7 linked regions of the Callithrix jacchus genome follow. The protein of the gene in region 1 binds, or shares a complex with, the protein of each later gene. Links are inferred from orthologs where the notes say so. Each region holds a gene or a part of one and is shown in the gene's direction. Other genes may lie near its edges. The genes, in order: PPP2R1A, STRIP1, PPP2CA, STK24, PPP2R3B, STRIP2 and STRN3.

What was found.
Region 2: PPP2R1A (region 1) and STRIP1 share a complex: the UniProt entries of both Homo sapiens proteins name them as parts of the core of STRIPAK complex. The link is inferred for Callithrix jacchus from reciprocal best matches to the Homo sapiens genes PPP2R1A and STRIP1.
Region 3: the proteins of PPP2R1A (region 1) and PPP2CA are in contact, whole or in part, in a cryo-EM structure (PDB 8UO5), measured with the Homo sapiens proteins. The link is inferred for Callithrix jacchus from reciprocal best matches to the Homo sapiens genes PPP2R1A and PPP2CA. Residues at the interface, in NP_055040.2 of Homo sapiens: Trp257, Arg258, Tyr261, Met262, Glu297, His304, His340, Ala415, Lys416, Trp417, Arg418, His454, Val455, Tyr456, Ala457, Arg459, Glu460, Pro493, Asn494, Tyr495, Leu496, Met499, Phe503, Pro532, Val533, Ala534, Asn535, Phe538, Asn539, Lys542; in NP_002706.1 of Homo sapiens: Lys4, Thr7, Lys8, Asp11, Arg49, Pro51, Val52, Thr53, Glu67, Phe69, Arg70, Ile71, Gly72, Gly73, Lys74, Pro76, Asp77, Thr78, Asn79, Arg106, Tyr107, Arg108, Glu109, Arg110, Glu277, Leu278, Asp279, Asp280, Leu287, Phe289.
Region 4: PPP2R1A (region 1) and STK24 share a complex: the UniProt entries of both Homo sapiens proteins name them as parts of the core of STRIPAK complex. The link is inferred for Callithrix jacchus from reciprocal best matches to the Homo sapiens genes PPP2R1A and STK24.
Region 5: the proteins of PPP2R1A (region 1) and PPP2R3B are in contact, whole or in part, in a crystal structure (PDB 4I5N), measured with the Homo sapiens proteins. The link is inferred for Callithrix jacchus from reciprocal best matches to the Homo sapiens genes PPP2R1A and PPP2R3B. Residues at the interface, in NP_055040.2 of Homo sapiens: Leu10, Ile13, Ala14, Ile17, Ala41, Leu42, Arg46, Ser49, Glu50, Leu51, Pro53, Phe54, Asp57, Ile59, Asp61, Glu62, Asp63, Glu64, Glu100, Glu101, Thr102, Arg105, Asp139, Trp140, Phe141, Asp177, Thr178, Pro179, Met180, Arg183; in NP_037371.2 of Homo sapiens: Ser122, Ser124, Ile125, Pro126, Thr127, Phe128, Tyr129, Arg275, Trp277, Ser278, Ala284, Glu285, Arg288, Arg354, Ser357, Gly358, Ala359, Val360, Thr361, Arg362, Gly363, Arg364, Gln367, Lys368, Glu394, Arg398, Asp401, Leu402, Asp403, Gly404.
Region 6: PPP2R1A (region 1) and STRIP2 share a complex: the UniProt entries of both Homo sapiens proteins name them as parts of the core of STRIPAK complex. The link is inferred for Callithrix jacchus from reciprocal best matches to the Homo sapiens genes PPP2R1A and STRIP2.
Region 7: the proteins of PPP2R1A (region 1) and STRN3 are in contact, whole or in part, in a crystal structure (PDB 6IUR), measured with the Homo sapiens proteins. The link is inferred for Callithrix jacchus from reciprocal best matches to the Homo sapiens genes PPP2R1A and STRN3. Residues at the interface, in NP_055040.2 of Homo sapiens: Leu10, Pro12, Val15, Asp18, Glu19, Asn22, Leu27, Asn30, Ser31, Lys34, Leu35, Thr37, Ile38, Leu40, Ala41; in NP_001077362.1 of Homo sapiens: Asn109, Leu110, Asp113, Arg116, Arg117, Lys119, Met120, Leu121, Tyr123, Ala124.

The regions. Positions count from the first base shown.
Region 1 is NC_133523.1:45,600,625-45,604,124, forward strand, and holds part of PPP2R1A (serine/threonine-protein phosphatase 2A 65 kDa regulatory subunit A alpha isoform), read left to right. Parts: intron 1-3,343; coding exon 3,344-3,500. UniProt on the Homo sapiens protein: The PR65 subunit of protein phosphatase 2A serves as a scaffolding molecule to coordinate the assembly of the catalytic subunit and a variable regulatory B subunit.
Region 2 is NC_133508.1:147,895,649-147,899,148, forward strand, and holds part of STRIP1 (striatin-interacting protein 1), read left to right. Parts: intron 1-665; coding exon 666-772; intron 773-860; coding exon 861-988; intron 989-2,197; coding exon 2,198-2,380; intron 2,381-2,733; coding exon 2,734-2,951; intron 2,952-3,500. UniProt on the Homo sapiens protein: Plays a role in the regulation of cell morphology and cytoskeletal organization. Required in the cortical actin filament dynamics and cell shape. Part of the striatin-interacting phosphatase and kinase (STRIPAK) complexes.
Region 3 is NC_133503.1:74,102,590-74,106,881, forward strand, and holds the start of PPP2CA (serine/threonine-protein phosphatase 2A catalytic subunit alpha isoform), read left to right. Parts: upstream 1-1,492; 5' UTR 1,493-1,709; coding exon 1,710-1,811; intron 1,812-4,292. UniProt on the Homo sapiens protein: Catalytic subunit of protein phosphatase 2A (PP2A), a serine/threonine phosphatase involved in the regulation of a wide variety of enzymes, signal transduction pathways, and cellular events.
Region 4 is NC_133502.1:14,170,682-14,174,181, reverse strand, and holds part of STK24 (serine/threonine-protein kinase 24), read left to right. Parts: intron 1-80; coding exon 81-266; intron 267-2,802; coding exon 2,803-2,948; intron 2,949-3,500. UniProt on the Homo sapiens protein: Serine/threonine-protein kinase that acts on both serine and threonine residues and promotes apoptosis in response to stress stimuli and caspase activation.
Region 5 is NC_133524.1:748,081-751,580, reverse strand, and holds part of PPP2R3B (serine/threonine-protein phosphatase 2A regulatory subunit B'' subunit beta), read left to right. Parts: intron 1-2,931; coding exon 2,932-3,018; intron 3,019-3,485; coding exon 3,486-3,500. UniProt on the Homo sapiens protein: The B regulatory subunit might modulate substrate selectivity and catalytic activity, and might also direct the localization of the catalytic enzyme to a particular subcellular compartment.
Region 6 is NC_133512.1:117,744,071-117,747,570, reverse strand, and holds part of STRIP2 (striatin-interacting protein 2), read left to right. Parts: intron 1-414; coding exon 415-618; intron 619-2,186; coding exon 2,187-2,422; intron 2,423-2,668; coding exon 2,669-2,734; intron 2,735-3,470; coding exon 3,471-3,500. UniProt on the Homo sapiens protein: Plays a role in the regulation of cell morphology and cytoskeletal organization. Required in the control of cell shape. Calmodulin-binding scaffolding protein which is the center of the striatin-interacting phosphatase and kinase (STRIPAK) complexes.
Region 7 is NC_133509.1:65,333,295-65,336,794, reverse strand, and holds part of STRN3 (striatin-3), read left to right. Parts: intron 1-420; coding exon 421-542; intron 543-1,166; exon of another isoform or gene 1,167-1,889; intron 1,890-3,500. UniProt on the Homo sapiens protein: Calmodulin-binding scaffolding protein which is the center of the striatin-interacting phosphatase and kinase (STRIPAK) complexes.

The DNA.
Region 1 (3,500 bases):
ACGCCTGTAATCCAAGTGCTTTGGAGGCCAAGGCGGGCGGATCACCTGAGGTCAGGAGTTCAAGACCAGCCTGACCAAGATGGTGAAACCCCATCTTAAAAAAGTAATAAGATAAAATAAAGATAATTAAAAAAAATTTTTTTTTTGCTCTAGAGACAGGGGTCTTGCTGTGTTGATCAGGTTGGTCTTGGTATCTCGTTCTCAAGCAATTCTCCTTCCTTGGCTTCCAAAGGCCTGGGATTACAAGTGTGAAGTGCCACGCCCAGCCTAAAATAAGACAGTTTTGATCCTCAAAAGCCTTCAGAGACTGGCAGCAGAGACGTACAGGCAATCCCATGATGCCCTTAAGGTGTTAAAGGTGCTGTTACAGTTGAGTTCATGTTTTTTAGGGTTTAGGCTAAGGTGTTGTAATGGAGACCCCAGAATACCTTCTGGCTTAAATTAGATGGAGGATTTTTTTTTCTCTCATAGCAGTCTAGGCGGGCCTACACTGGTGGGTTTGCCCTGCTGACCTCAACTGTCTCAGAGTCTCAGGCAACTGCTCCAGTTTTTAGCATCTTAGCCGGCATGGAGGGGTCAGGCACAGACAACAGCAGACCCAGTTCTCTGAAGGACAAGATTCCCCACGCGTGCTTGTACCCCATACACCCATTGGCCAGGGAGGGTCACATGATCACATCTAGCAGTTCAGGTTACCTGGATTACAGAGGATGAGGGGAGGTGCTGGGTAATGACTAGAGAGATCATTGGGGTGACCACTGGGGAAGGAATTTGGACTTGACTCTGGGCAAGTGCAGGAGCCAGAATACAGTTGGTATTAGAAGGCACCCTAAGGCTTATGTAAAGGGAAGGTTAAAGTGAGGTGGCCAGCAGAAATGTAGGAAGACCAAACCAGAGGCTGCTGTGGGAGTCTGGAAGACTGAGGCTAGATTGAGGGTATGTAGAGAAAAGGCTGCAGTGATATGGAAGGATTCAAGATTGTTCGGGAGGTAGAGGGACCACATGGTGGTTTTTGCCTTGGTAGTGAAAAACTGGGCAGATGGTGCAATCGTTTGCTGGTATATGACGTCTTGGTTCCCAAAGGCCTCAATCCTTGGCTCTTCCCCATCCCCTTCTTTTCTGTACACAGGCGTGCTAGGAAGTTGGAGGAAATACTGTAACAGAAAGTATCACATTTCAGTCCCCCATGCCCCAAAAAGTTACGTTGTTCATTTACGCTACAGTGGAATAATCTCTTAGCCCCAGAATTAGTCAATTTTTTGATACATTGAAAAGAATGTGCGACAGGGCTGGTGGCTCATGCCTATAATCCAAGCACTTTGGAGGTCAAGGTGGGCAGAACACCTGAGGTCAGGAGTTCAAGACCACCTGGGGCAGATCACCTGAGGTCAGGAGTTCAAGACCAGCCTGACCAACATGGTGAAACCCCATCTTAAAAAAAAACGAAAAATGAAAAGAATGTGCTATTTTAAATATATTTTTTGTTCTGGGTTATTCCCTATTAATGGGTTATTAACAATGTGGGGTTTTTTTGTTTTTTTTTTTGTTTTTTTTTTTTTGAGAGGGCGTTTCGCTCTTGTTATCCAGGCTGGAGTGCAATGGCGCGATCTCGGCTCACTGCAACCTCAGCCTCCTGGGTTCAGGCAATTCTCCTGCCTCAGCCTCTGGAGTAGCTGGGATTACAGGCACGCGCCACCATGCCCAGCTAATTTTTTGTATTTTTAGTAGAGACGAGGTTTCACCATGTTGGCCAGGATGGTCTCGATCTCTTGACCTCGTGATCCACCCGCCTCGGCCTCCAAAAGTGCTGGGATTACAGGCTTGAGCCACCACACCTGGCATGTTTTTTGTTTTTTTGAGATGGAGTTCTTATTGCCCAGACTGTAGTGCAATGGCATGATCTTGGCTTGCCACAACCCCCACCTCTCGCTTGCAATCTATTCTCCATCCGCAGCCTCCTCAGTAGCTGGGATTACAGGCATGTGCCACCACGCCTGGCTAATTTTGTATTTTTATTAGAGACAGGATTTCTTCATGTTGGTCAGGCTGGTCTTGAACTCTTGACCTTAGGTGATCCGCCCGCCTCAGCCATGGCCCCGGCCCAAAGTGCTGGGATTACAGGCATGAGCCACCGCACCCATCCTACAGTATAGTATTTTTAATCAGTTATTTACATCAGTTGCTAAAAGTTTAAATCATCATTAATGTTCATGACAAATTTTATGACTTAAGTAATATATCTGAGTTATGCTTCACATGCACATATTTTCTTTTATAATCTTTTATAGATGTTATATATACAATTTTTATTTATTTTGATGCTTTAATGGCATAAGTTGGTAGGTGAGAGCCCCTCAAGTTGTCTGCTATGCCATTTCACACCTCTCCAGAGTTTTCGAGAGCATTTTGCCTCTGGCATCGGGAAGGATCCAGGCTCAGCCCAGTGTGAAGGCAAGCCCATACATGCTGCAAGTACACTAGAATTGAAGCATTTTTTGCTCTAGTTTCACCTTCAGCAAGCACGACATGGTAATCACATGCTGGCAGCCAGCCTGTCTCAGGGCAACTTCTTACAGAGAAAAAAAGAACCAGCATGGTTTTCTTAGTGTGAGGAATTCATCTGACTTGTATTTGGGACTTCCATTTTAGATTTATGAATTTTGTATTTCACATTTTGACTCTCACCAGAATTTATAAACTTGTCTAAATGAAAAAGTCTACTTTTTTCTTGGTGCACCAAAAAGAAGTCTTTTTAAATGGGTAAGGTGTATTCTCTGAACCTTCTCTTCTCATGCACTGAGCGCCTTGAGGCCACGCACCCAGGACAGGAGCTGGGCAAGGGCCAGTCCTATCTTCGGAATGTGCAGGGTTTGAACAGGCCAGGCCTGCCAGCCTTGTTACTTGGTTTATTGATTCATTTCAGTGCTCACTCATTTCTTTAGACTAGAATAGTTTTAATAAGGAAATAGTTTTCTTCCCTTCCCTCTCCCATGTTGTGGATTGATATCCAAAAATGAACCCTTGTTAAAAAGCAGCAGAGCTAGGATTAGAAGAAGCACGTCTGCCTTTTTTTTCCAGGGTGCTGTATTTAAGTCCTTTCAAAATGGATAAACATTTCTTGTGAGACTATTGTAAGGTTTAAAAATCTACTTACCTCAGTGATCCATGCTGCTGCTTTTTGTGTGCCTTTATTGTGTCCCCAGGACTGGGAGCTGGGCTTGGGCAGGTGTAGGGCCTCAGGAGATGTCCATTATACCAAGTTGATGCAGCTGAGCTCTTTCCACCCTGTCCTGGGTTGCTGGGTGCATGGCATTCTCTCAGAATCCTTCTTTCCTCTCCTCAGTGCCCTGAGGTACGGCTGAACATCATCTCCAACCTGGACTGTGTGAACGAGGTGATTGGCATCCGACAGCTGTCCCAGTCCCTGCTCCCTGCCATTGTGGAGCTGGCTGAGGATGCCAAGTGGCGGGTGCGGCTGGCCATCATTGAGTACATGCCCC
Region 2 (3,500 bases), on another chromosome or scaffold:
AGGAACTGCTGAGGGCTCGACTTAGGTGGGGCTCTTGGTTGAGACTCCCAAAGGCAATCCAGGGTCAAGTGACTAATTAGAGCCACAGCTAAGTGTGAGCCTCCTCCTCACACTGTTACGAGGACCCGGGTATGGGGTGTTTTATATTTGGATGAAACACATGATGATGTTCCCTGGGCTCCCTGGGCCTTCTTTGTGTACACAGCTTGATCCTCATCTTCATTGGATTAGACCCAGCAACTTGCTAATGTTTCATGGCTGCCCAGGAGTTCAAGCAACTGCTAAACAACAAGATGACCCTCCAGTTTTTGAGGGTTGAAATCTGGCTGTTTTGTGAATTTGGAGTTTGTAGATTGTGGTTGTAGTGTTCCCTCCTGAGTGTTAGGATCGCTGGGTGTCACGTCCCAGCTCCTGCTTTCCACTTCCTCGTCATAAGCCCTGTTTTTTGTTCTCACTGTGACCCTACAGCTCACTACCACCTCTGTGGTATTTTCTCTTCAGGAAGCTTAGGGCAGTAAATGCTTTTAACCATTCTTGTTCATGTTTGTTTATTCACTACCATTTATTAATATTAAGCCCCTGCCTTGAGTAAGCACTTCGTTAGACACTAGGGTGCTCCCTTGACTCCCGATCCTACTCCATTGTGAGCTGGCTCTTGTCCTCAGGGTCCTGCTCAACATCATGTACCTGATAGTGGAGACTGTTCACCAGGAGTGTGAGGGTGACAAGGCTGAGTGGAGGACCATGCGACAGACCTTCAGAGCCGAGCTGGGTAGGACCCTGGGGATCCTCTGAAGAGGCCCTGCCTGGAGGAGGCAGGAGGCCTTGGGAGGGTCCTGATACCTTTGTGTCACCTCCAGGCTCCCCGCTGTACAACAATGAGCCATTTGCCATCATGCTGTTTGGGATGGTGACCAAATTTTGCAGCGGTCACGCCCCTCACTTCCCCATGAAGAAAGTTCTCTTGCTGCTCTGGAAGACTGTATTGGTGAGCACCTCCTTGGAGGAGAACTCGGGTGGTAGGGGAGGGGCAGTAGGAAGACTGTTCCTTGACTATCCTTTTGAATATTGAATGACGTGGTTATAAAACTGCTTTGGTAAGAAAAATATATATATTTAAAAAGCCGCTAAAGAGATGACAAAGAAGTGCCACTTTTGTTCCACTGTAGCCAGCGAGGACATAGGCCTTGAGTCAGAATAGACTGTTGATCCCTGGAAGCTGTTTTCTCAGTCACAGACAGCTCTCTCCCAGACAAGTTGCCTCTCATCAAGCAGCTCTGAACCTGGAGTTTGTAAAGGGATTTGAGGCAAAGTTAAAGCCTGTGTAACTGGGGCCCTGGTTAGATGTCATTTGAAGGGGCAAGAGTGAGCCCTGAGCCAGTCTTCATTTTCTTCAGGGTATACTGTCAACCTGATTCTGTGTCTAGGGAGGGAGGGACTGGCTGCCAGGGTGGGCCGGCCAGCACACCAGGCTTGGAGTGTTGTTCGCAGCCAGGCCATCCCAGGAGGAGTGGCGTGGGGAGATGGTGGAGGTGAGTTGGGACTGCTGCTGCACTGGGGCTCATCCCTCCTCCTTTCAGAATGGGTTGACCCTGGAGCCAGTAAGTGTAGGATTTCTCAAGAGTCATTGACGCATTTTATCTTGGACACATATTCTGTTCTTCACAACGCCTTGCTGAGGCCAGAGAGGAAAGCTGAATTGCGCAGAAACAGTAAAACTAAGCAGTGTAAAATTGCTGCATGGTTCTGGGGTTTCTGCTTCTTGGGAGGTGTTTAGTTGAAGCTTTTTTTTTCTTTCAAATTTGAGCATCCAACTGTATCTCCAATTTGACTTTGAAAGACTTGCATGTACAACTTGTGAAACATATGAGTCTTACCAACTTCTAGGAACTTGAAGGGTTAGGCTGTTGTCCTTTTTTTAAATTGAAGAGTATGTCATAGGTGCAGAGTTCAGTGTGTCTGTACAAGAGTCAGTCAGCCTGCATCTCTATACCCTTTCCTTGTTCCTTTTTCTCCTTTCGCTTGATGGTGTCACTGAATTCTTGTGAGTGGCTTTAGTCCCTTATTCAGAGGTTGCCTGGGTCTCTATAAAGAGACCCAGGTCATGATGTCATGGGTGCTTCTGAGCCTGACATAATGGTTAGGGACCAACCCTGTGGACATGTTGACCCTGGCTCTGCTCCCGTCTATGATGCAGTGCACGCTGGGTGGCTTTGAGGAGCTGCAGAGCATGAAGGCTGAGAAGCGCAGCATTCTGGGTCTCCCCCCACTTCCTGAGGACAGCATCAAAGTGATTCGCAACATGAGGGCCGCCTCTCCACCAGCATCTGCTTCAGACTTGATTGAGCAGCAGCAGAAACGAGGCCGCCGAGAGCACAAGGTGAGGGCGACAGAGGTCCCTGTGACTCCTGAGGGTCCTCAAGGTGCACGCTGGAGCAGTGCGGTCCTTGGAGGAGCAGGGCTACTGGAAATGAGCACCGAGTAGCCAGTCAGAATCATGCCTCCATGGCAAGGACACTTTGTCCCCTGCTCTGGTCTAGTTTATGATGTGTGCTCAGCACGTGGTGCTTTTGAGGGACCGGAGGAAGAAGTAGTTGATTGTTTGGCCCCCGTCTTGACTCTGCCTCTGGTTGTTCCACTGTTCTAAGCTCTGCCCGACACACCTCTGTGCTCTGTCTCTTCTGGTCTGTGTCCTCAGTTGGCTCTTGTCTCATCTCCCTTCCCTGGTTTCAGGCTCTGATAAAGCAGGACAACCTAGATGCCTTCAACGAGCGGGATCCCTACAAGGCTGATGATTCTCGAGAAGAGGAAGAGGAGAATGATGATGACAACAGTCTGGAGGGGGAGACGTTCCCCCTGGAACGGGATGAAGTGATGCCTCCCCCACTACAGCACCCGCAGACTGACAGGCTGACCTGCCCCAAAGGGCTACCGTGGGCTCCCAAGGTCAGGTGAGTCTCACACCTCCAGAGCATTCTTGGCTTCTGAAGCTAGAGCCTTCACACCCTCAGGCCTGCCACCTGGCCTGCGTCACCGTGAGTGGTCATCTGAGGGCAGGCTGACCCTGGCTCTGAGATGAGGCTCTTTTAAAGCTCCCTGTGCTGGCCTGAGGGTCTCAGGGAGGCTGGCCTTGCTGGTCTCACACAACATGGCCCCCATGTGGCTACTGAGTCAGCAATTTGAGTTAGCTCTTGGTTAGTTAGGCATGCTAGTGAAAGGGAATAGAAACAGATAAAAACAAGAGCATTTAAGCAAACATGCCCCCATCCACCCTGGGCTTGTGTATGACTTTTAACAGAACAGTGATGGATTAAGGAAGCGTTTCTTTAGAGCTATGATGAAAATGTTTGAGGTATATGTGGGTAAATGGGTGGAAAGGTACCTGGAGATACATAAATGGTGTCTGTTTGAGAGGCAGCAACTTAAGAAATAAAGTAGATGAATGTGTGAGAGGATATAGAAGTCACTTTCTTGATCCAGGTAAAGCCTCAGTTTTCAGT
Region 3 (4,292 bases), on another chromosome or scaffold:
CACACTAAGGGGAGGTATGAAGGGAAAGCAGAATTAACAATTTCCAGCCCAGGAGGCCAAGCCAGTTGGCCTCGCCAAACAGGTTGTCTTGGATAAAGGAGGATTTTCAGTCTTGCTATTGGCTGCTGGGGCCTCCAGTGCCTTCTTCAGCCTGTTGGTGGGGATGATGCCCTCAGAGCCGCAGAGTGAGCACTCTCCTTCCGAGCACTGCTGAGCACTTGGTGTGGAAGAGTTGGCTGATACTGAGGGTGGGGCGCCTGGAAAAGGCGACCAGGTTCAGCTCTTGCCTTTCCCTTTATGGCTAAATGTTCTTTGGAAAGCTTCTATATCTGTCAAATTCGGGGGCATCATGATCTCTGTCTATCCCAAACCATATTTAGCCCATACTGTTGAGAATACAAGCTCCAGGGCTGGTCATCCGTCTGGATTACCCCTCTGGATCTGGCACATAGTTGGCGCTCTATGGAACCAGATGTGTATGTAAAAGCAGGGACAATGGAATGTGAAAACGTTTTGCAAACTCCAAAGCGATTCACAACCAGACAGAGATTCAATCCCAGGGTATGCAAGCTCTCTTTAAAGCGCGGATCACATCTGCTTCTAACGCCATCGGGACGCGGTCAGGACAGGTGCATCCATCTTCTATGGGATTCTCCTCTAGAAAGTAGGCCAGGGAGGGCAGGGGCTGAGGGTCTCATTCCCAAGGGGAATCAAACTTGGAGGAAAGCAACCATCGGCGAGGAGCCGTGCACCTGGAACCAAGCCGCGGTTTGAGGCTCAAAGAAAAGCCCAAACCTCGCCATCGCCATCGCGCCCGACGAGACACCTAGGTCAGGGGACTGGTGTGTGCCGGGGAAGTCAGGTGCACTGCGCGGCACTCCCACGGTAGGCACTCGCTCCTCCACCTACGAGTGACCTAATTACACCAACCGCGCCCAGAGGTGGGGGTGGTTATTCCAACCAGGCGGCCACTCGCTGCCCATTCCTGCCCCCGAGATGCGGGAAACCCACACAATTCCAGCGCTGTTGCACCCCGGAGGAGCCATGGGGTCGCAATTCTCGCGACTGCCGGGCCCCAGACGAGGAGCTGAATTCATCACCAGAACAGCCTTCCCAGGGGAACCAGTTACAGACAGACAGTAACCCCCACTTCCATCCGGTCTGCGTCTGCGCGTGGCCCAATCTCTCACCTCTCGGGGCGTAGCGCTAAGGGATTAGTCCGGTTCGCCGCTGTGCGCATTGCGCACGCTCAAACTCCATCCTTCCCTTCCCCCACCACCCGCCCTCCGGGAGCCACGCCCTAAAAGCGAAGGCGACTGTTACCAGCCGGCTAAGTCGCGCCTGCGCTTTGACCCCCAGTTAGCGCCCCCAACTCCGGTAGTGCGGCCGCCGGGGCTGGGCATCGCAGTTGCGCAGCTCGCTCCCGGTCCCTTTTCCCGTCCGCTCCCCGCCACCTCCTAACGCCGGCGTGACGTCACCACGCCAGGCGGCCGCCATTACAGAGAGCCGATCTCTGGTGCCGGAGCGAGCGGAGGAGGAGGCGCAACGGCCGACGGCCGAGTATTGCGGTGAGAGCCAGCGGGCCAGCGCCAGCCTCAGCAGCCGCCAGAAGTACACGAGGAGCCGGCGGCGGCGTGTGCGTGTGGCCCGTGTGCGGGCGGCGGCGCGGGAGCAGCGCGGAGCCACAGCCGGCTGGGGCGGGAGGCATCATGGACGAGAAGGTGTTCACCAAGGAGCTGGACCAGTGGATCGAGCAGCTGAACGAGTGCAAGCAGCTGTCCGAGTCCCAGGTCAAGAGCCTCTGCGAGAAGGTGAGGTGTAGTCTGGGTTCAGGCAGCAGCCGTGGGGCAGACCCCGCCGAAGAAAGGGAGGCCGTGAGGAGGGTGCAACATGGCGGAGGCCGCCGGCCCGGGCCCCCCGAGTCACCGAGACCGGCGCCCAGCCCGGCCGGCGGCGGCACCCGAACGACCCGGCGCCCCCTGCCTCCCGCGCAGGGATTGGTTGTCGCCGCCAACGCCGCCTAAAATGGCGCCGTTCACCCGGGTCTTGGGCTTTTGAGTCTCCCGGCCTTGGCGCCAGACGAAGTGGCTGGGGTGGGGGAGCGGAGACCCTGTGGGTCAGCATCAGGGACGGTTTTGAGGGTGAGCGGGCTTAGATTCTGCGGCCTGGGAATGGGACCTAGACTTCTCCGGTGGGCTAAGAGGCTTTCCACTTGTACCCAAGGCCTAGTTAGGTCCAAAGCTGTCCAGAGGTACTGTCCCCAAAGGCGGTCTTGTTAGGCCATATCCCAGAACATATGTAAAGGTCACACATCTTTAGTACCCCTGGGTGGTTTGTATTAAACTCATCAAGCGGTCTTCTCCAGAAACCAAAGTGAGGGTGTCTTTAAGAATTTTAAAATTATTCCCTTAACCTAATTTCTACGAAGGTCATGGTAGTTGGAGGAGTGTAACTTATTTTTCATAGTTGGAAGAAATGGGGAATTTGGTAAGTCATAATACATGAGGAGCTTTTGGACTGGAAATCAAGTGTCAGTTGAATATGATTTATTTGCTGACTCAAAGCCTTCTCTAAGCTTAACACACTTGGCATTTTGCCATTTATTTTAAAAATCAACAAAATGGAAGAGCGGTAAATTTTGTATCTTCTCTTTGTTGCAAAAGTTAACTTGATAGAATTTTGTGGTTGCAAGTAGTAGTATTAGTAATAACTGTCGACTAAGATTGTATTCCAAACATTGTGCTTAGTGTTTAAATAATGTCTCACATGCATTGAAAATAGAATGTTGTAGTCCACTTAATAACACTTAAATTTTATATTTTGTATTAGCTAATTCTGTTTTGTTTTCCCCTGGGATTGGGGAAACAGGTAGCCAATTTAGTTATTAGCTGTATGTTGCATTTTTAAATTCTTGTAACTCAGTTTTCTAGAGTACACAAAAATGCTGATCTCTGCTGTGAACACTTTTAAACTTCTCTTTTCAAAAATAACTTTGCAGTATGTCACTTTAGTACAGAATAGTGGAGTATCATACTATCATTTTGTATTAGTGAAAAGAATTAATGGAGAACTATTATCCTGATTTGTTTGTGGTGTGATGTGAAAATTAGATTCATGAGTTTGGTGTATGTGTCCATGTTTTAGAAACCATGTTATGAACAATTGGAATTTAAGTACGTCGGATTTAGATTTATTTCTCCCAAGCATGAACAAAACTACTACTAGTTGATGAGGTAGCACATCATCTTGGAGATGTATTTTAATGGTAGCAAGGTATTGAATCTCCTGTTTCTTTACCAACCTCACATCAAATGAGGTTGGTATTTATTTTAAAGGTTTAAAATTGGCCTGAGATTATACAGTCAATTCCTTTTTAAATTAGTAGTGTGTTTAATATTGAGCACCTATTGAAGCTCCAAGATTGCATACTCTTTTGAGCGGAATGAAAATAAATGAAGACTAAGTATGCTTATTGTTGAGGAACTATGAATCTAGTTGGAAGGAAAAGCATGGTATGGAAATGTGTGGGAGATAGAGCATGGAAGTAGAGGGTTTGTGTTGGAAACTATGGAAGATAATAAGATAATACTGGATGCTAAAGTGGGGTGGGTGAAGCTAATGCATCGTTATTACTTTCCACATCTTTGTAAAACTAACATATAGTGAAGTAAATCTCCATTGCTTGCTCAGCTTACGCAAATTTTAGTTCTGAGTGCCAAAAAAGATGGAAATAATATTTGAGAGTAGATGTTAGATAAAAGTTTCCGTGGAATGGGTCCTTTTTGGTGGACATCATTATACGACCTTAATACTGTTTATAACTTGTAATTATTTCAACTTTCAGGAGCTTATTCAAACCAAATTAATTTGAAGACAGGTTTTTGGGTATGTGAAACCCATGAACTGATATTTTTTGTTCAAGTCTTTCTAGTAAAACAAAAGCTGTCTCTCACTGTTTATATTTGTGTGCCAGTGGCATCTCTGGGTGAAAGGTGCATATATGCTTTTTGGTGTGATTGCCTTCTAAAGAGTAATTTTGAAAATATTGAGGGCTAATTTTTTTGATTAACATATAATAGTAGTATTTTGGGAGGAAAAGATAGTTGTTTGAGAATAGTTGGCAATTTCTTCACTTACAAGAAGGAACGATAATATAAAAAAGCCTTCTACCCACCTAAAGATGCCTGATTTAAATGAAAGACTTTAATAGTAAAGGTAGATGTATACTGTGAGAAGTCATTGTTACTAAAAAAAAAATCCTGAGGCCATTATTTTGTTATCCCATCAACAAT
Region 4 (3,500 bases), on another chromosome or scaffold:
GTTTACCGTTTTTCCCCTAAATATTGTTAATTGGAATTGATTCCTGCTTGGTGTTGGTAAAGGTGCTTTTCTTGTTGCAGGCAGATATCTGGTCCCTGGGCATAACAGCTATTGAACTTGCAAGAGGGGAACCACCTCATTCCGAGCTGCACCCCATGAAAGTTTTATTCCTCATTCCAAAGAACAACCCACCAACATTGGAAGGAAACTACAGCAAACCCCTCAAGGAGTTTGTGGAGGCCTGTTTGAATAAGGAGCCGAGCTTTGTAAGTTTCCTGGGGATCTGAACATCCCTCCCTATGTGAGTTTTGACTTGGTTTAGATACATCCTGTTGGGATTTCTTTTCAGCTGTCTTCATGGAATTCCTCATTTTTCTTTTTCTATAAATAAGTATGATTGACCTCTTTGGTTTGCAAATACATTTTATAAGTATTAGCAATTTCCTTATTTTGCTTTAGATTTCTACCATCTCATACTTCATTGAATCTGAAGAATATTCTCCTTAATATTAAATGTGGAATCATCAAAGTTTAATATCGATAGAGGATCAGGCCATAAACTGTTACACTGTTTTTAGGAATGGGAAAGTTTAGCTTGGAAATAAGTGGCTAAATATGTCTTTAAAGTAAATGTTTTCAATTTCCAGATGGCATATGTTAGGAAACAAAAGATTAGAAAATACAAATACAACCAAGCCCCTCTTTGCTATCCCCGCCTCTTCCTGCCCACTTCTCTTTTTAGGTTTAATGGACTCTGGCAGAGCCTTACAGCAGTAACGACTGCCTGGCTTTGCCCTGTTTTCTCTTTGAATTAGGACATTTATTTGAAAGTTGTCAGTGTGTGTCGGTGTTGGATGCAGCACCGTATGTCATTGATTTGTTTGAGTTTTCCAGCTGAAGGCCAATCTGAGCACCCCTTTTCCTAACTCTTAATTAAAAATGGGTGGTTACTTTTACAAGAGCACCGTGGTTTTCTAATACACCGGTTTTGGTAAAGGAATTAAGTGGGAAATGCAATATTTTCTTTTTTTTTTTTGAGACGGATTCTCACTCTGTCACCAGGCTGGAGTGCAGTGGCGTGATCTTGGCTCACTGCAACCTCCGCCTCTTGGGTTCAGGGGATTCTCCTGCCTCAGCCTCCTGAGTAGCTGGGACTACAGGCGTGCACCACCACACTCAGCTAATTTTTGTATTTTTGGTAGAGATGTGGTTTCACCTTGTTGGCCAGGCTGGTCTCGATCTCCTGAACTCGTGATCCACTGCCTCGGCCTCCCAAAGTGCTGGGATTACAGGTGTGGGCCACCGTGCTTGGCCAGAATGCAACATTTTCTAAGCACCTCTAAGGAGATGCAGCCGGAGACCACCACGCCAGTGATTGATCACCCCATCAGCGTGAGGTAGTGGTGAGGCTTGTCCCACGTGCCATGATGCTCTGCATTTTATTGCATGATGATGTTTGTTGCACCCACCATGCACTGGTGGAGATGCGGCCGCTTGCAGGCATGCCTTCCCATGCACAGCATGCGTCTAATACGAGCTTATTCCCCAGCACACACCGCTCCACCCTACAGCTACTGAGGAGCCGGCTGAGAGGCGAGAATATGAGCACCTCAGGGGTAGTTGGGGTTTTACCCTCATGTGGACAGAGAGGGAGAATACCTGAGGTGATCAGGTTTCTCACGAGTTTGAATCTGAAAATGTGCTTGACTCTTGTAATCAAGCTTTCGTAGTTTGGAGTGAGTGGGATCTTGGTTTGACTTGGGGTTTGGGTGTTCCTTCTGTCTGTTCCAATTTGGGCCAAGCTGGTTTCCTTGGGAAGCACATTCCCTATCACTGTCACCATCTTCAAGGCAGGTAGCTGGCTGGGTGCTGCTTGCGGTGGCCATGCTGAGCTCAGGGCATGGGTGAAGTCCTCAGCCCAATAACAAGGGAAGGGAGGGACCTGGGCAACAGCCTTTCTAAACTGGGACAGTGGGTGATGAAGAGCACCCCGCTCTTTCAACAGACAGGAAAAAGGGCATCTGCTGGCTCCCTTATGGTTTCTTTGAGATAATTCCAAATTGACATTTCTATTATGTGTCTGGATGTGGTCAAACATTAATACAGAAAGTTAACAAAGCGGCCAGGCACGGTGGCTCATGCCTGTAATCCTAGCACTTGGAGAGTCTGAGGAGGGTGGATCACCTGAGGTCAGGAGTTTGAGACTAGCCTGGCCAACATGGTGAAACCCCATCTCTGCAAAAATAGAAATAATACACTAGGTGTAGTGGCACATTCCTGTAGCCCCAGCTACTTAGGAGGCTGAAGCAGGAGAATCGCTTGAACCTGTGCGGCAGAAGTTGCAGTGAGCCGAGATCTCACCACTGCACTCCAACCTGGGCAACAGAGCAAGACTCTGTCTCAAACAAAAAGTAAAAGCGACACAGAACAAGTATTTTGTCAGCATTTGTCATAAAGTATTTTATAAATTAGGAGATAAGCTCTCATGAATAATCCCTCTGAAGTTCTGTGCAGAGTTTTCTGTGGAAGTGCATTTATCTGGGGGAAGTTCTTGTGCTTTCATTGGATGGCTACCTGTAGAATATTAAGGACCTCCTTGGAAACTCAGTGCCATGCCCACCACAGCACCCGGAGTCCAGGCGTAGGTCCTGAGACTCTCATCTTGGGGCGAGTCACAGTGAGAAGAGCTGTGGAGTGGAGTCCAGTCATCAGGCAGGCTGATGTTTTGAGGCTGAAGTGTGTCCTTTCGGCGGGGATGGAGAGCTTCATCTCATACTTGGGTTGTTGTGTGTGTTTTTCCAGAGACCCACTGCTAGGGAGTTACTGAAGCACAAGTTTATCCTACGCAATGCAAAGAAAACTTCCTACTTGACCGAGCTCATCGACAGGTACAAGAGATGGAAGGCGGAGCAGAGCCATGAGGACTCAAGCTCTGAGGATTCTGATGCGTAAGTGGCCCCTGGGTGGCCCAAGCATGGTGTAGGATGGAGCCGCTGGTCCTTGTCACTTGTTTGGTGTGCATTTCGTTTCTTGTTGAGTTTTTTTCAGATAATCCAGGTTGGTGGCGATTGTTGTGTTAGACACAGCATGGGCCTGTTTGGGCATCATTTAGCCTCTTGATGTTGTCAGTGGAGTTTCTTCGAGGGAACTCTTAGAGCTGTGCGTAGGGGTCCAGACCTGGCTGTTTCACTGTGTTCTGTTTTGTTTCTTTCTGTTCTGTCTTGTTTTCCATTACACTTCATGTTCTTAAAATCCTGACAAGGTGAAATTGTATCACATGAATACCTGAAAGGCTAGAAATGCATGTTTTTGTGATTCCCTGTTGAGTCTGGTAGAAGCTCTGTACCAGGAAGTGACTTACGGAGAACTGCTTTCAAGTTCGGCATCTAGGAATTCCTTTGGCATCAGAGGCAAAGTGGGGCTGCAGCCATTTGTGTGGGGAAGGCTGGGGAGGCAGTCGGGCCAGGGATGTGTCAGGAAGTGGGAGCCTGGGAACTCAT
Region 5 (3,500 bases), on another chromosome or scaffold:
TGGGAGGACTCTAAGGTGGGAACACATCTGCTGTGTGGGAGGACTCTGGTGGGTGGGAGCACACGTCTGCTGTGTGGGAGGACTCTGAGATGGGTGGGAGCACACGTCTGCTGTGGGAGGACTCTGAGGTGGGTGGGAGCACGTCTGCTGTGTGGGAGGACTCTGAGGTGGGTGGGAGCACACGTCTCCTGTGTGGTGCGACTCTGAGGTGGGTGGGAGCACATGTCTGCTGTGTGGGAGGACTCTGAGGTGGGTGGGAGCACATGTCTGCTGTGTGGGAGGACTCTGAGGTGGGTGGGAGCACACGTCTCCTGTGTGGTGCGACTCTGAGATGGGTGGGAGCAGACGTCTGCTGTGTGGGAGGACTCTGAGGTGGGTGGGAGCACACGTCTGCTGTGTGGGAGGACTCTGAGGTGGGTGGGAGTACATGTCTGCTGTGTGGGAGGACTCTGAGATGGGTGGGAGCACATGTCTGCTGTGTGGGAGGACTCTGAGGTGGGTGGGAGCACATGTCTGCTGTGTGGGAGGACTCAGGTGGGTGGGAGCACACGTCTCCAGTGTGGTGTGACTCTGAGGTGGGTGGGAGCACATGTCTGCTGTGTGGGAGGACTCAGGTGGGTGGGAGCACATGTCTGCTGTGTGGTGTGACTCTGAGGTGGGTGGGAGCACACGTCTGCTGTGTGGGAGGACTCAGGTGGGTGGGAGCACATGTCTGCTGTGTGGTGTGACTCTGAGGTGGGTGGGAGCACACGTCTGCTGTGTGGGAGGACTCAGGTGGGTGGGAGCACACGTCTCTAGTATGGTGTGACTCTGAGGTGGGTGGGAGCACATGTCTGCTGTGTGGGAGGACTCAGGTGGGTGGGAGCACACGTCTCCAGTGTGGTGCAACTCTGAGGTGGGTGGGAGCACATGTCTGCTGTGTGGGAGGACTCAGGTGGGTGGGAGCACACGTCTCTAGTATGGTGTGACTCTGAGGTGGGTGGGAGCACATGTCTGCTGTGTGGGAGGACTCAGGTGGGTGGGAGCACACGTCTCCTGTGTGGTGCGACTCTGAGGTGGGTGGGAGCACATGTCTGCTGTGTGGGAGGACTCAGGTGGGTGGGAGCAGACGTCTCCAGTGTGGTGTGACTCTGAGGTGGGTGGGAGCACATGTCTGCTGTGTGGGAGGACTCAGGTGGGTGGGAGCACACGCCTCCTGTGTGGTGCGACTCTGAGGTGGGTGGGAGCACATGTCTGCTGTGTGGGAGGACTCAGGTGGGTGGGAGCAGACGTCTCCAGTGTGGTGTGACTCTGAGGTGGGTGGGAGCACATGTCTGCTGTGTGGGAGGACTCAGGTGGGTGGGAGCACACGTCTCCTGTGTGGTGCGACTCTGAGGTGGGTGGGAGCACATGTCTGCTGTGTGGGAGGACTCAGGTGGGTGGGAGCACACGTCTCCAGTGTGGTGTGACTCTGAGGTGGGTGGGAGCACATGTCTGCTGTGTGGGAGGACTCTGAGGTGGGTGGGAGCACATGTCTGCTGTGTGGGAGGACTCAGGTGGGTGGGAGCACACGTCTCCTGTGTGGGAGGACTCTGAGGTAGGTGGGAGCACATGTCTGCTGTGTGGGAGGACTCTGAGGTGGGTGGGAGCACATGTCTGCTGTGGGAGGACTCAGGTGGGTGGGAGCACACGTCTCCAGTGTGGTGTGACTCTGAGGTGGGTGGGAGCACATGTCTGCTGTGTGGGAGGACTCAGGTGGGTGGGAGCACATGTCTGCTGTGTGGGAGGACTCTGAGGTGGGTGGGAGCACATGTCTGCTGTGTGGGAGGACTCTGAGGTGGGTGGGAGCACACGTCTCCTGTGTGGTGCGACTCTGAGGTGGGTGGGAGCACATGTCTGCTGTGTGGGAGGACTCAGGTGGGGAAGCGCACACATCCTAAACGCAGCCTGTGACTTTCAGCAGTGGTGTTTGTGGGTCCGTGCCTCCTCTTTCCCGCACGTCTGTCTCAGTCATTCTGGCTACACAGTAGACGTGATAGGTTGTGGTTCCTCTGCTGAGACTTCAGATAACCTGGAGCTGTCAGGGGTTCGACAGGCTCAGGAGGCCTCACGCAGGGAGTGGGATGACCTCCTGGATGGGAGGCAGGAGGCCTTGCTCGTCCCGGGATGCAGCCCCACGTGTGGTCAGCGCACGGTTCGCTCAGCGAGGAGCCGCCCTGGGTGCCCCACGTGGTGCCTCCCCACAGTCAAAGACAGGGTTTCGGCCGGGCGCGGTGGCTCACGCCTGTAATCCCAGCACTTTGGGAGGCCGAGGCGGGTGGATCACGAGGTCAAGAGATCGAGACCATCCCGGTCAACATGGTGAAACCCCGTCTCTACTAAAAATACAAAAAATTAGCTGGGCACGGTGGCGCGTGCCTGTAATCCCAGCTACTGGGGAGGTTGAGGCAGGAGAATTGCCTGAACTCAGGAGGCGGAGGTTGCGGTGAGCCGAGATCGCGCCATTGCACTCCAGCCTGGGTGACAAGAGTGAAATTCCGTCTCAAAAAAAAAGGCAGGGTTTCACCATATTGGTCAGGATGGTCTCGATCTTCTGACCTCAAGTGATCCGCCTGCCTCAGCCTCCCAAAGTGCTGGGATGACAGGCGTGAGCCCCCGCGCCCGGCCAGAGTGTAGCATTCATCGAGTCAGGCTGTCGTGCAGACCGTGGTTTTTTGGGGTGTCCACGCCCCTTTTCCCACCTGTCCACAGGGGCACCCGTGACCAGACCCTCCCCGAGCGCAGCCTGGGGTGGTGCCTCCCGCAGGGCCCTTCCCACTGCCCCCGCCTGTTCCCTGGTGGGCCTGGGGCTGCTGAGACCAAGGCAGTGCCCGTCTGCCCCCGTTCCCCGTCTCTGCGAGGGGTGAGGCCCCTCGGGGTCTGCACACCCAGGACATTGACGCACCCCCGCAGGTCATCCAGCGCATCTTCTACGCAGTGAACCGGTCCTGGTCCGGCAGGATCACCTGCGCTGAGCTGCGGAGGAGCTCATTCCTGCAGGTGCGGCGGCCCCTAACCCTTTCCTCCCCCTCCGCTTCTCCTCCACCCCCCCCCCGCTTCTCCTCCCCCATCCCCTTTTCTTCCTCCTCTCCCTCCCCCTCCTCTGTTCCTCCCCATGTCCCTCCCCCTCTCCCTTTCCACCCCTTCCCGCCCCCTTCCTTTCTCCCCCGTCCCCGTCCCCTCCCTCTTCTCACCACCCTCCTTCCCTTTCCTCCCCGTTTTGTCTCCCACCCCCTCCCTTCCCTTTCCCCATGTCCTGGGAGCCCTGGGCCTACAGCACCCCCACTCCCGCCTAGCAAGCTGTTTCCATGCTGCAGTTCCCCCAACCTGGAACTGCCCCCACTCGGAGCACCCCCGCCACAGCTGCCCGTCCCCAGCACCCACGGAGCGGCCCCGCCCTCCGCCCCAGCCTTCTCCCTGCCCGCAGCCACCTCGGAGCTCAGCCCCCGCCCCATGTCCTTTGGCAGAACGTAGCGCTGCTG
Region 6 (3,500 bases), on another chromosome or scaffold:
CCCATCTCCCAAGGCAGGCCTAATAGGAGGAACCACATATTGACTGCAGAGGAAATTGAGTGACTCTGGGGGTTTATAGTATCTGGATGTGTTCCTCAAAAAAGGAGATAGTTTCCTATTTTTTTTTTTTTTTTTTTTTTGAGGAGGCACCCAGGAATCTCTTTCCTAACTTCTGGTTATGTTTCCCATACTGGGGTAGTAAATAATGCTTTGTCCTGGCCCCTGAGCTCCTCAGTTGCTGTGGGGATTGTAACCACATTTGCCTCTTCCTGCTTTACTGCTTCCTTATTAAGGAGAAGGTCTGAAGGGACTGGGGGTTGTGGCTCTTTCTTTTCATCCATGTTTCCCTGACCTTGGCTCTCTGTTACTTCCCTCCCTTCCTCTCTCTTTGCCCCTTTTCTGTTTCTGCCTTAGTTTACCCTAGGTGGATTCGAGCATCTGCAGACTCTCAAAGTACAGAAGCGGGCAGAATTGGGCCTACCTCCACTGGCTGAAGACAGTATCCAGGTGGTGAAGAGCATGCGTGCTGCCTCCCCACCTTCTTACACTCTTGACCTGGGGGAATCTCAGCTGGCACCTCCACCCTCCAAGCTGCGAGGCCGCCGTGGCTCTCGAAGGGTATGGACTGAAGCAAACAGTGGTACTGTGACACTGACTGGCCAAAAATCAAGATTCTAAGCTACTCTGGGTATGGTAGGAAAAGGCAGTAAATGGGCTCATCCTGCCCAGGTTTGCCCGATGACCAACCTGAAACCTTAGAGTCTCTACTTTGGCCTCTATCCCCCAGCCCTGACAGCCCCTGGGCTGTTGTGATGTAACACTGTGATATCACATTGTATAGCCATGTCTTGTTACAGAATCATTGGCCTGGACCTCAGTGGCTAGAGTTTCTTACATTCTGAACAACAATTAAGGGTATAATCCTGGGGATAGGGACCTAGGGCACCTGAAGAGGGCTCCAAGAAAATCCATTTTTCTGGGATGTAAGGCATTTTACTATTTTGAGATAGCAAGAGGGTTTACTGTCAGCTAGCCACATTCTTAACCAGCCCTGAAACCAAAGGCTTACATTTAAGAGATGACTGGGTAGGGTTCTATGTATATAGCTATGTGACACTTAGTGACAGGGATACAATCTAAAATATGTGTCATGGAGTTTTGTCACTGAGCAAACATCATAGAGTGTACTTACACAAACCTGAATGGCATAGCCTACTGCATACCTAGGCATATAGCCTATTGCTCCTAGACTACCAACCTGTACAGAAGGTTACTATTCTGAAAACCATATGCAATTGTAACCTAATGGTGTTTGTGTATCTCAACCTAGAAAAGGGCACCGTAAAAATACAGTATTGTAATCTTATGGATCCACAATTATATATGCAGTCCATTGTTGACTGAAGCATCATTGTGCAGCACATAACTATAGTCTGCTGTCCTGAAAAGGTCAGAATGACAAGTTATAGTGAGACCTGACTTTGTTCTTACAAACTGCCCTGCTGCCAGTTTATCAACAGGGCTAGACAGTAGTGCTCAGTAATCCAGTCTCTATTATCTGCAATGCAATTTTTTAACCTTTATTTTTGTTTTATAAAGTAATGCTTACTCATTGTAGAAAATTTGGAACAAATATAAAAATGTGACGAAGGGAGAAAAGAAAAATCACCCACAATCTTAACAACCAGAGACAGTCACTGTTAACTTTTTGGCTTATTTCTGTCCAATCTTCTTTTATTTGTGACAAGATTTAAAATTCCAAACTTGCTTCCCTCTGCCTAGCAGTAAGCTTCTGTCCTCCTCTTCCTCAGTCCGCCAGCTGGTGTATTTTCACAGAAGGCAAACTAATTGAATGTTCACCTAAGCAGAGCATAATTAGGAAGGAAAGTGCTGGCAAAAAAAAAAAAAAAGGCATCAGTGCTTTCTGAAAACTAAGTAACTGTGACTTTGGGATTATCTATGCTTTGTTCTCTGGCTAATGGCATGGTTGCCTGAGAACTTCTTGTCCTGTTATTGGGCCCAGTGGGGACAGTAGGGTTGAGATACAGAATGGGATATTTTCACAAGGGCTGTTTTTAGATTCCATGTTCCCTGAAATCTGGAGGCCTGTGGATATGAGGTAGCCTCAGACAAGGATGCCCAGAGTGAGATCTCTGCATGCCTACTCTCCCTTCTTTCCCCTCCAGCAACTCCTTACTAAGCAGGACAGCCTGGACATCTACAATGAAAGGGATCTCTTCAAGACTGAGGAGCCAGCCGCAGAGGAGGAAGAGGAGTCTGCTGGTGATGGAGAAAGAACCTTGGATGGAGAGTTAGACCTGCTAGAGCAGGACCCTCTGGTGCCACCTCCACCCTCACAGGCACCCCTCTCTGCTGAGCGGGTGGCTTTTCCCAAGGGCCTGCCCTGGGCCCCAAAGGTCAGGTAGGTTTAATAGCATCAGGGTCCCCTATGCTTTGAGGTTTCAGTCACCAAAAGCCCAAGATGGAGTAGTCTATGTATTCAAGACTCGTTAAGTTAGCCTGAGTTTGAAATTCTGTCTGTTGATTGCTACCTTTCTCCAGTGCTCCTGTCCTCTGATTTGGAGGGGCAGGAGCCCAGAAAGATTCTCTCTCTCAAAGTTTGCTTTTCTTCCCTTTTCTGGGATTGGTCTTTCCATCATCCTCTCAGACAGAAGGACATTGAGCACTTCTTGGAGATGAGCAGGAACAAGTTCATCGGATTCACCCTGGGCCAGTAAGTGACTGAATGGTTGGAACTGGCTATAGAGTGGTTCCTAGGGGGCCAGGTAGCTTGTAATGAGGAATGGTGGGTGCCTTGTAGTCATAATGCAACCTAGAGCACCCAGGCCGTGGACAACTCCTAGTAATGACTTTGGGTTCTTTCTATGGACTTTTTTTCCTTGAGTTTCTTCCACTTTTACTCGAAGAACTTTTGTGTTTTCAGCCAACTGTAGGACTTGGAGCAACAAATAATTTCTCTTTTGGGCCTTAATTGTTTCATGATGTTGTTGGATTAGGTGTTTCTATGGCCTCTTCCTGCTCTAATGGGCTAAAATTCTGTGAAGAAGAGACATGGTCAGAATAGATCCCATCTTCCCTCATTTCCCTATCCACATGAATCCTTTCCATTGGCCTCCTGAAAATTGAGGCTTTCTTAGTGGGGTTTCAGAGTCAAGGTGTCATTGGGGTATATATTCTTTGAAGTAGGAACCTACCACTCCCACACCAAGTGAGTACCCAAAAGACTATAAAAATCTCCTGATTTCTAGGAACATTTCTGTGTACCATTATTATTTTTGTGTCCTGAAGCATTGACTGGGGACCTGCTAGCTTGCAGAGGAAGATCCAGGGTACTGGGGGTAGAGGTTGTTGAAAGTAGCACGGTCCATGTGACTCTAGGGGAGTATTGGGGTATCAGCAGTTCTCTGTACTTTGGAAGCTTATGATCTTGTATGTCTGGCCTTTTACAGGGACACAGATACATTGGTTGGATTACCCAG
Region 7 (3,500 bases), on another chromosome or scaffold:
TAGTTCATGCCTATAATCCCAGGACTTTGGGAGGCTGAGGTAGGCAGATCACTTGAGGTCGGGAGTTCGAGATAAGCCTGGCCAACATGGTAAAACCCCATCTCTACCAGAAAATACAAAAATTAGCTGGGCATGGTGGCGTGTGCCTGTGGTCTCAGCTACTTGGGATGCTGAGGCAGGAGAATCACTTAATCCCAGGAGGCGGAGGTTGTGGTAAACCGAGATCACCACTACACTCCAGCCTGGGCGGACGACAGAGTGAGACTCTGTCTCCAAAAAAAAACCCCACCATTCAAATGTATGTGTTCTCTTAAAACAGTTTTTAGATATAACATAAATTCAGAGGTTGGGAGAACGGAGATTTGAGTTCCTTCTTAGAATTTATCAGTAATTTTTTTTCACTCTCTTTTTCTACAATAGTGGCCCTGTTCTATCCTTAGCTATTAGTTCTAATGGAGACCAGTGTTTTAGTGGTGGTATTGATGCAACCATCCAGTGGTGGAATATGCCGAGTCCCAATGTGGATCCGTATGATACATATGGTAAGTAAAAGGATCAAAATGTATTTTTTTTTTAAGTGAATGGAGCTGACAAAAGTGAATGCCTCAAATATGATTACAAGGTTATTTAAACCTATATTAGTCACCTCATTTAGTTATTCAGTTTGCTAATAAATTGCTTTATTAAAGAGAAAAGTTAGGAAATATCATGCCATGGTTATTTAAACCTATGAATTGACACTTTCTCTGTTAAAAAAAACTATTAATTAAAATGTTAATTTAGGTCGTTACAAAAAGGAGAAGGAAACAAAATATAATCTAAATAACAAAATTTTAAACTTAAGAAATAGTTTATATATTTCAAAAATACCAAGCAAAAGACAATGGAAACAACAGCAAGGGTGTAAATCATTACAACTTTTTGGAGCCAAAAAAATTTTTGTTATTCTTAGCTTATATCTACAAAAACATTTTTAATTTCAAAAAACAAAAACCTCTTTGACTTACAAATGGAGCTTTTAGAAATCTGTCCTACAGAAAAGACCTACCTGGACCTGTGTTCAAATATATTTGTAAGGACATTGTTAATAATTATAAAACATTAAAACAAAATGTTTATGAACTCTTTGTTCTTTCTATTTAACACACACTTTGTGCCTACATTAGCTAGGCATTGTGGTAAGTACTATGTCAAGAAATAAGATCAGTCTAATGGAAAGTAGAGATATAAAACAAATAAGCAAGGTGATGGGATCTATGGTTACAAATTGTGATAAATGATAAGATGATAGGGTTTTGCTTGTGAGGGTCATAAGATGGGAATGCTCCCGGAACGTAGAAGTATCCCACCGTGGGTGAAAGTTCCCGAAGACCTGAAAGATCCAGAAGTGTTCCAGGTCCAGATGCGGCTGCTGGAAGCCATGTTCGGCCGGGACGGATGTCGAATCCCTTACATCGAGCAGGTGAGCAAGGCCATGCTCGAGCTGAAGGCTCTGAAGTCTCCAGATTTCACTGAGGTCGTGGTTTACAGCTCCTATACAAGCTTCGGGCCAAGCGGATACTCTAGTCTAAGGCTGAGTGGCACCGCCAGCACCAGGAACAATGGATGCTCAAACTTGAGGAAGCCATGAATGCCCTCGAACTCAGCCCTTGGATGAAGTGAACCAGCTTCCAACCAGGTTGAAGGCCAGGATGTAGAGATTAATTTGTGGCCAGAGCTGGAGTGATTTCTCCAGCTTGGTTTAAAATCTGTTCCAGGCTGAGGAGTTGAGGGAAAATCATCCCTTTAGGGGTCTCTACCTTGGGTCTTAGTCTTTTTGAGAATATCTCTTTGATGGTTGCCAGTAAAAGTTTTTCTTACCCATTTTAAAAATTAAAAACAAAAACAAAAACGATAGAGTACTGTAAGAGGGAGTAAAAGAACCTTTTCTAGAAGAATTAAGAAAGGTTTATCTAAAATCATGACATTCAAGCCAACATCTGAAGGATAAAAGCTACTTTCAGTAAAGAGTTTTAAGCCATGAAGTTATCTGATAAATGTAAGGTTTTAAAAAGGTGACTGTGTCTGGTGTGAGAAGAATAAATTGGGGGTGAGAAGAGTGGAAAGAGAAATACCATTTAGGAGGCCGCTGTCATACAGTAGTCCAGTAAACTAGGTGACAGACAATATTGCCAAGGTTAGAGTGGTGGTAGCAGAGCAGTTAGAAGTGGTTTTAAGATATACACTGGGGAAGTGTGGTAGAATAGAAAGGATTTATTGATAAATTATGTTGAGTAGATAAAGTGATAAGTGAGTGACTCTTAATTTGGTTGTATGTGTTTTTTAATTAACTGCTTTATTGAGATGTAATTTGCATATCACAAAATTCACCCTTTTAAAGTATACAGTTCAGGCTGGGCACAGTGGCCCACACCTGTAATCCCACCACTTTGGGAGGCCGAGATGGGAGAATCACTTGAGGCCAGGACTTCAAGACCAACCTGGGCAACACAGTAAGACCTGATGTCTACCAGAAATTTAAAAATCATCCACATGTGGTGGCATGTGCCTATAGTCCCAGATGCTCAGGAGGCTGAGCTGGAAGGATCACTTGAGTATAGGAAGTCAAGACTGTAGTGAGCTATGATGGTGCCAGTGTACTCCATTATAGAGAGAACCCATCTCTCTTTCTTCCTTTTCTTTCCTCTTTCCCCTTTCCCCTTTCTCCTTTCTCCTTTCCCCTTTCCCCTTTCTCTTTTACCTTTTCACTTTCCCCTTTCCCCTCCTTTCCTTCGTTTCTTTTGAAAAGCAAGTTATATCTCAATAAAACATTTAATTAAAGAATTTTGTAAAAGTTACGATAATCATTTTACTCCTAGTCATTTTTTTTTAGTGCTTTTCTTTTTTGAGACAGCGTCTCGCTCTGTCTCCTAGGTTGGAGGGCAGAGGCGTGATCTTGGCTTACCTCAACCTCTGCTGCCCAGGCTCAAACCATACTCCTGAGTAGCTGGGACTACAGGTGTGAGTCACCACACCCCACTAATTTTTGTATTTTTTGTAGAAACGGTGGCCATGTAACCCAGGGTTCTCTCAAACTCCTGGGCTCAAGTAATCCTACTGCCTTGGTCTCCCAAAGAATTGGGATAATAGGCATGAGCCACAATGTGCAGCCACAAGACCCCATTTCTTAAAGAAAAGTTAATGCTTAAAAATAGTATACAGTTCAGTAGTTTTTACTGTGTTCACAAAGTTGTGCAGCCATCATCACTAATTTCAGAACATTTTCATTATCAGTCATGAGTGACAAGAGCAACTAAGCATGTGATGGGAGCATTTATTGAAATGGGGGCTGTGAGGAGATTTAAGATGGTGAGTTCTGATTTTAGGCATGTTAAACTATAACAGTATCAAGTAGGTAATATACAAATATGGAACCCAAAGAGATTTCAATTGGAGATAAAAACATGGAGAGTCTTCTCTACTGATGATACATTAAGCTGTAAGAATGGGTGATACAGAGA